Sus scrofa: one gene and its partner. The protein of the gene in region 2 purifies or fractionates together with the protein of the main gene of each other region. This does not show direct contact. Links are inferred from orthologs where the notes say so. Each region holds a gene or a part of one and is shown on either strand. Other genes may lie near its edges. The genes, in order: IRF2BP1 and IRF2.

The links.
Region 1: the proteins of IRF2 (region 2) and IRF2BP1 purify together in Homo sapiens (affinity purification with mass spectrometry; 4 studies listed by BioGRID and IntAct, counting the BioPlex papers as one, with this or other methods). This does not show direct contact. The link is inferred for Sus scrofa from reciprocal best matches to the Homo sapiens genes IRF2 and IRF2BP1.

Annotation. Positions count from the first base shown.
Region 1 is NC_010448.4:52,197,118-52,201,599, reverse strand, and holds the start of IRF2BP1 (interferon regulatory factor 2-binding protein 1), read left to right. Parts: upstream 1-1,389; 5' UTR 1,390-2,734; coding exon 2,735-4,482. UniProt on the Homo sapiens protein: Acts as a transcriptional corepressor in a IRF2-dependent manner; this repression is not mediated by histone deacetylase activities. May act as an E3 ligase towards JDP2, enhancing its polyubiquitination. Represses ATF2-dependent transcriptional activation.
Region 2 is NC_010457.5:45,581,544-45,585,350, forward strand, and holds part of IRF2 (interferon regulatory factor 2), read right to left. Parts: intron 1,179-3,807; coding exon 1,079-1,178; intron 49-1,078; coding exon 1-48. UniProt on the Homo sapiens protein: Specifically binds to the upstream regulatory region of type I IFN and IFN-inducible MHC class I genes (the interferon consensus sequence (ICS)) and represses those genes. Also acts as an activator for several genes including H4 and IL7.

The DNA of each region.
Region 1 (4,482 bases), on a different chromosome or scaffold from region 2:
TACGGGGTCTTCATTTTTTTCCTGAGAAGTTTAGAGACTTGCCCTAAATTTGTCCGGTGACAATCCAGTTCATCTCAAGGCAGCATCTGGCCAAAACTCCTTACTCCCACTACTGTTAACTAAAGCTGGTTAAGGATCCAGGGTTATCACTGCAGTAGCTTGGGTCACTGCTATGGCACCAGTTCCATCCCTAGCCTCCATATGCCACAGGAAGCAGCCCTAGAGAAAGCAAAAAGACCAAAAAAAAAAAAAAAAAAAAAAAAAAAAAAAAAAGGCCCAAAGACAATTTTAGGAGATACATGGATGGCCTTTTTAATGGCTCTATATGTACACAGGTTTTTTTTGTTGTTCGTTTATTTATTTTTTGCTTTTTTTTTTTTTTTTAAAGGCCGCACCTGCAACATGTGGAAGTTCCCAGGCTAGGGGTCAAATCAGAGGTGCAGCTACTGCCCTATGCCGCAACAACGCCAGATTGGAGCCCCATCTGCAACCTATGCTGCAACTTGTGGCAATGCCGGATCTTTAACCCTCTGAGCCTGGCTAGGGATCGAACTGGCATCCTTATGAATACTAGTCGGGTTTGTTACTGTTGAGCCACGACAGGAACTCCATATATACGTAATTTTAACTTATTTTATAAAAATGTGTACAGCACACACAAAAAAGTATAGTACATAAAACCCATGATTATGGGAGTTCCCGTCGTGGCGCAGTGGTTGACGAATCCGACTAGGAACCATAAGGTTGCGGGTTCGATCCCTGCCCTTGCTCAGTGGGTTAATGATCCGGCGTTGCCGTGAGCTGTGGTGTAGGTTGCAGACGCAGCTCCGATCCCGCGTTGCTGTGGCTCTGGCGTAGGCTGGTGGCTATGGCTCCGATTCGACCCCTAGCCTGGGAACCTCCATATGCCACGGGAGTGGCCCAAGAAATAGCAAAAAGACCAAAAAAAAAAAAAAAAAAAAATCCAACCCATGATTATGCACATACTGCTTAGGATGGAGCAGAAATAAACTTCTTTTTCTCGGGAATCAACTTCAAGAAAAATGTCAAAATAATACAAGTCGTGAACAAAATTGTGAAGCTGAGACTGCAAATCAGACCTGCTATGGTTGCAGTGGAATAAGGGAGAGTTGGCAGGTATTCCCTGATTAGTTTGAAAACCACTAATGAGTGCAACTCACAAATAATTCAAAATATTTTTGAGCGCTTAACAGGAACCTAGGCCTAAAGAGGGGAAGAGGCTGACGTGGGTTAGAGTCTGGAGACCCTTCTCCACCCTCCACATACCCACGCTTCCAAGCCTGCCCTGCGGGGTGCGGTCGCCAGGAAGAAAACACGGGGGTCCCCATAGCCTGCATAGGCCTAGATGGTAGTAAGCAATCAGGGTTGGAGAAGGGTGGTCTAGCTCTTGTTCTCCCCAGAAACTAAGCACCCCCCACCCCCAACTTTGCCATCCCTGCCCTCCTTCCCTTCCTCAACATTAATGAGCCATACAGGGTGAGGGTCCTTTCAATTTGGTGCTGGGAAAACATGGAAACACCTTCCATAAATTGCGCGCGCGCTGGGGGGGGGGGGGGGGACTGTAAGGACAGACAGCGGGAATCGGGAAGGCCTCCCCCAACCTTCCAGACTGCGGAAGTGCGTCAGCTTGTTGGCCCCGCAGGGCATTTTGGGAATTGTAGTGAAGTTGGGAGGGGGGCGGTGACACTGACGGTGTAACCCTTTGGAGACCAGAGCGCTTTGGCAGGGCTGGAACAGAATTGGGGGCGCCCCACCACTCCCTTCAGCAGATAAGGCAGCTGAGGCTGGCAACTTCAGTTCTCTCCTTTCTCCGGATGTTGCTGGCTCCAATCAGAGGCTGCCATTCAAGATTTGGGGCAAGAAGAAGTGCCAAGTGAACAGCCCTGCCCAACGCTTAAGTTGCCTGCTTCCCGTCCCCCTGTCCTGAAACCTTCCAATCAAGACCCCTCCGCCCCGCCCCAGGAGCGACTGCCTCCGTAGCCAGTCATTGGCCCACCTTTGAAGGGCGGGAATTGAGCTTCAGAGAAGGCAAGATTTTTGCCTAAAGCCGCACAGCAAGTCGGAACAGAAGCTGGATGCCCGGAAGCCTGTCCACCTCCTACAATTTTTGAGTCCGTCGTGGCGCTCGCCATTTGTATCACATCCCTGTTTCCAACCCTTGTGCTCGAAATGCTCGGAGCAAGCCAAACTCCCTGCCCCGCGGCGACGAGTGGTAAAGGTCGCGCAGCGGCGAGCCCGCGCCGTCCTCTGCTGCCTGCCGTCCCCTTTAAGAGCCGGCCCCGGCGGGACTACGTTTCCCAGAAGGCTTTGCCGGCGCGTTATGTAACTTTCCCTGCGAAACGGCCTCTGGGGCAGAAGGAGGTGGAGGCGGCGGTGGCAGCCGTTGGAGCGGAGGTGGCGGGAGCGGCGGGAGCCCGAGGCGGCGGCGCTCGCGGCCCATCGCGGGGCCCGAGCTGTGCGCCTCGGCCCGGAGCCCGGAGCAGGCTGGGGCGCCGACGTACCTTTGCCTGCCTTTTCGAGGAGGCGGGAGTGAGGAAAAAGGCTTAGGGCCCGGGGGGCGGGGAAGGGGGGCCGGGCCTGGATCCGCGGGGAGGCCGAGCCAGAGGCCCGACTGTGGCTCGCGCGGTCCTGGGGACACAAATCGAACGTCGGCAGTGCGGATCGAACGGCGGCGGGTGGATTGAGGGGTCCTGAAGGCGCGCGTTTGGGGGCTATGGCGTCCGTGCAGGCGTCCCGCCGCCAGTGGTGCTACCTGTGCGACCTGCCCAAGATGCCGTGGGCCATGGTGTGGGACTTCAGTGAGGCCGTGTGCCGCGGCTGCGTGAACTTCGAGGGCGCAGATCGCATCGAGCTGCTCATCGATGCTGCCCGCCAGCTCAAGCGCAGCCACGTGCTCCCCGAGGGCCGCTCGCCGGGGCCCCCGGCCCTCAAGCACCCGGCCACTAAGGACCTAGCTGCCGCCGCCGCACAGGGTCCTCAGTTGCCGCCTCCACAGGCCCAGGCCCAGTCATCGGGAGCAGGCGGCGCTGTCTCGGGCCAGGACCGCTATGACAGGGCCACATCATCTGGTCGCCTCCCACTCCCCTCGCCCGCCCTGGAGTACACCTTGGGGTCGCGCCTGGCCAATGGGCTGGGCCGCGAGGAGGCTGTGGCAGAGGGGGCGCGAAGGGCCCTGCTTGGCTCCATGCCCGGCTTGGTGCCCCCCGGGCTGCTGGCAGCTGCGGTGTCTGGCCTGGGAAGCCGAGGCCTGACGCTGGCACCCGGCTTGAGCCCTGCCCGTCCACCCTTCGGCTCCGATTTCGAGAAGGAGAAGCAGCAGAGGAACGCGGACTGTCTGGCAGAACTGAATGAGGCCATGAGGGGCCGGGCAGAGGAATGGCATGGGCGCCCCAAAGCTGTGCGGGAACAGCTGCTGGCGCTGTCTGCCTGCGCCCCTTTCAATGTCCGCTTCAAAAAGGATCACGGGCTGGTGGGTCGGGTGTTCGCCTTCGATGCTACTGCCCGCCCGCCGGGCTACGAGTTTGAGCTGAAGCTCTTCACCGAATACCCCTGTGGTTCTGGCAACGTGTATGCAGGAGTCCTGGCCGTGGCTCGTCAGATGTTTCATGATGCTCTGCGGGAGCCAGGCAAGGCACTGGCCTCATCAGGCTTCAAGTACCTCGAATATGAACGCCGACACGGTTCAGGGGAATGGCGCCAGCTGGGGGAGCTGCTAACCGATGGTGTCCGCAGCTTCCGAGAGCCAGCTCCCGCCGAGGCCCTACCGCAGCAATACCCAGAGCCAGCCCCCGCAGCTCTGTGTGGCCCACCCCCACGAGCCCCATCCCGGAATCTGGCTCCCACGCCGCGCCGTCGCAAGGCATCCCCTGAACCTGAGGGTGAGGCCGCTGGGAAGATGACCACGGAGGAGCAGCAGCAGCGACACTGGGTGGCACCCGGTGGCCCATACTCCAATGACACCCCTGGTGTGCCCTCACCCATCGCCGCTCTGAAGAACGTGGCCGAAGCCCTGGGCCACTCCCCCAAGGACCCTGCCGGGGGTGGCGGCCCTGTGCGTGCAGGGGGGGCCAGCCCGGCAGCCTCTTCCACAGCCCAGCCTCCAGCCCAGCATCGTCTAGTGGCCCGCAACGGTGAGGCAGAAGTTAGCCCCACTGCAGGGGCAGAAGCAGTTAGCGGGGGTGGTAGTGGTACTGGAGCGACCCCTGGGGCCCCCCTGTGCTGTACCCTGTGCAGGGAGCGGCTGGAAGATACCCACTTCGTCCAGTGCCCCTCAGTGCCCGGACACAAGTTTTGCTTTCCCTGCTCACGGGAGTTCATCAAGGCACAGGGCCCTGCTGGGGAGGTGTACTGCCCCAGTGGAGACAAGTGCCCGCTAGTGGGCTCCTCCGTCCCCTGGGCCTTCATGCAGGGTGAGATCGCCACCATCCTTGCTGGAGACATCAAGGTTAAGAAAGAACGGGA
Region 2 (3,807 bases):
CCTTCCATGTTTTTGGATCAGGTTTATCTACTCCCGGTTGATGCTTTCCTAATAAAATAATTGAAAGAATTAAGGTTGTGGGGGGAATTAGATCGAGACTCAAAATTTCTGGAAACAGGAGAGCTGGGCAGGTGGTACAGAGAACGCTTTCAATTCTAGGTCACACCTACAGTGACCAACTGCCCCGGGTTGTTTAGGGCCGAGAAGGTTCCGGGGATGAGGGAATTTGTGTTTTAAAACCCAACAGTTCTGAACAAACTGGGACACACTGGTCACCCTGGTTCTACAAACCCGGTTAAGAGAAAAGAATGATGGTAGAGAAAGGGAAAATCCAAGTAAGGAGAAAAGACAGCGAAAAGGTCAGGAGGCCAACAAGCACGGGTAAGTGGAAGGCCTCTTTATCATGAAGTAAAATCCATTCTATAAATAAGTTTCCTAGTTAAATTTTGTTATAAGTACATATAATCTCGGCTACCTCTGGGGGAGATAAATTCAACCCAGCTCCAGAACAAGTCGTTCTCTATTCCCCGGGACACACGTGGATAACTTCTGAATAGCACATTTACGGGAAATCTCAGGACTAAGTGTCTAGGGAATAGGAGCATCGCTTCTGAGTGATGAGATCTGCACCCCTGCGACATGTGCCAGATGCGCCTGGGGACAAGTCACAGGTTTTTCGGAGCTACATCTTGACTCTAAAAGCCAGGAGATTTTACATAGGTAGTAAAAATAAACATAAACAATAGCTAACAGTCTTACTGTATAACTGAAGTTTGCCAAGACAGTAGAACTTAAATGTTCTCACACATACACAAATATATATACTTTAAATACCTTACAATTTATACGTCAATTTTTATTTATTTATTTTTTGGACATGCCCACAGCACGTGGACGTTCCCGTGCCAGGAATCGAATCCACACCACAGCTGTAACCAGAGCCACAGCAGTGATGACGCCAGATTCTTAACCTGCCCCACCATGAGGGAACACCCACAGCTCAATTCTTAAAAAGGCATGAAAACCACAACGGCAAAAGCAACAGTGCCAGCCTCTACAAACAACACGGGGTTGATACCTGTATGGATGGCCCAGTTTCTAAAGAGTGGTGCATCTTTTTCCACATCCCACCCATGTCTAGCTGCATGCATCCAGGGGATCTGAAAAATCTTCTTTTCCTGAAAAATAAAAGTAATTAAGAAACGTAGACATGGGTTTCAGGCCACCACTGCAGAAGGTTCTTTGGTCCTAGCTAACAAGATTCTCCAGTAAGTAAGTACCACTGGGGTTTGCTGAATATCTACTGTAAACCCACTTTCCCCCTGGACCCCAACCCTTGACAGTCCACCAGACATGTGGAGAAAGGCATATGGAGTCTGGTAGAATAGGAATGTATACCAAGGTCAACAGTGATGATCTGGGATATGCCCATGTGTTCTGTTACCTGGGCCTCCTTTCCCGTAGAGGACCACAGGAAACTGAGCACTTACTGAAACTTCCAATGCTTAATTACTCTTATGACTTATTTCCATCACTTGATAAAGAGGAACTCCAGCTGCCTTAGGTAAATTAAAAATTAGGCAACTCTCCAAAATAATACCATTTTGCTGTTAATGGGAAGTCGGGGTGTCCAAGGCCATTGTCAAGACTTAATATCTGCTTGAGCAGCCAACAGAAATAGATTTTGTTCTAACCCCTCTGTGTCTACCACTCCGCACGAAACAGCAACACATGCAAAGAAAGATGTGTCAATTACATGAAGAAGATGCTCCTTTTCTGGAGCAAAGTCCCTTAATTCAATTCTTCTTATAGCAGAACCTCCTCCTCGCTCTTACATCCCAAGAGGGGACTCAGAATTGCTTAAATTGACCCTGGCAAACATAGGTCTAGAAACTAGTACTTTGGGAACAAAGTGACACTTGTAGTAAAACTAATTTTGTGAAACCTGGTTCACTTTGCATGTTTACATGGTCTCGGTTTTGGTTTCTGCAACACCCTAACAAACTACTGTGATTATATTATCATTTCCGCTTTCCAGTTGAGGAAACAGAGGCACTCTCATAAATAAATTATCTAGCCAAGGGTCTAAGTTCAAAACCAAGGTCATGTGATCCCAGACTCAAGTCACTTACACCACCCAATGTCTCCCAGGGACTGGATTTAGAAGATTGCCCTGTCTTACAATAAATCTGCTCACTTGGATTCCCTGGAGATTAAAGCCTAGGGAAACTAATTTTTTTAAGCTCTCAAGGTAGGTCTGATCATTTCTAGGTCTGGAGATCTCTGCACAATACCCTGGAGCAGGAAAGAAAATGTTAGTAGGAATTTTCCACCACTTTAGTGTCACACAATGAAAGAAAAGGGGTCCCCACCAACCCAAAAGGGGCTCGGCTCCTCTCCTCAGAGCCAGTTATAAAGCCTGAACTAAAAATACGCCAGAACATTTGAGGACTCCCCAGAACTGTTAAAGGGGAAAATTTATGTATTTAAAACTTCGTCAACAAAGAAGAACTGAAAGCGAGAGGTTTTTCATAAATCTCTGCATGTTCAGGCTGTATCGTCCACAGAAAGAGGAGGGTTTCAGGTTCACCATTTTTCAAAGGGCAGTTAATCAGAAGAAGGCTGGGTGAATTTTTTTTTTTTTTAATATATATGAAAGTCAGAGAGGAAAATCACTCAGTGCAGTTTTGGACATGCACATAAGACGGAAAAACTTTTTGAAAATGAATTTATCTCAGCGAATGAATTTTTCCTGAAGTGCACCATCAGAATCTAAAGGTTTATGCCTTAAAGATAGAGACCCTTAAAGAATTTGCTGTTGTACTTTTTTTCTAGGTCAAAGGAGATCTGGGGTGACATAATCTGAAATCTATCCCCTAAGATACAAAATTCATTGTGATGAATAAATCTTTTCAAGTATTTGCGTGTTCAGAGCACACATGTGCACTCGCACACACGCGCGCGCACACACACACATCCTCAAACCTAGTCGCCCAGGAACCACACTCAAATCATGAATCCAAAAGTAATGACTGAACCTAGCAATTATCCTCCAAGGACCCTCTTGAAATGGCCGAAGGACCTGAACAGATATTTTTCCAAAGAAGATAAAGAAATGGCCAAGAAGCACACGAAAAGTGCTCATCACTAGTCATTAGGCAAATGGAAATCAAAACAGCAATGGGAGAGCATTTTAAACCCATTAGGATGGCTAGAATTAAAAACAAAACAAAACAAAAACAGAAAAAAATCAGTGTTGGCAAGATGTGGAGAAACTAGAACCCTCACACTGCTAGTGTGAGTGTAAAACACCACAACCACTCTGGAAATCACTTTGGCTGTTTCTCAAAAAAATTAACACAAATTACCACATGATCCAGTAATTTCACTCAAAGAATTCCAACCAGCTTTCCATGCAAATATTGACACATGAATGTTCATAGCAGCACTACTCACAATAGGCAAAAGGTCCATCAACCAACAGAAGAGATAAGAACGTGTTGTATATGCATAAAACGAAATATTATTCAGCCACAAAAAAAACCGGTATTGAAACTGGCTACAGTAGGGATGAACCTTGAAAACTCTGTGCCAAGCGAAAGACACTGTCCACAAAAGGCCATAAAGGGAATCATTCTATTTATATGAAATATCCAGAAAAGGCAAATCCAAAGAGACAGAAAGCACATCACTGGTTGCCATGAACTAGGGAAAGGAGAATTGGGGAGTGACTCCTTAATAACAGTACCAAGTTTCCTTTTGGGGTGATGAAAACGTTCTGGAATTCGATGGTAGTGATGGCTGCAT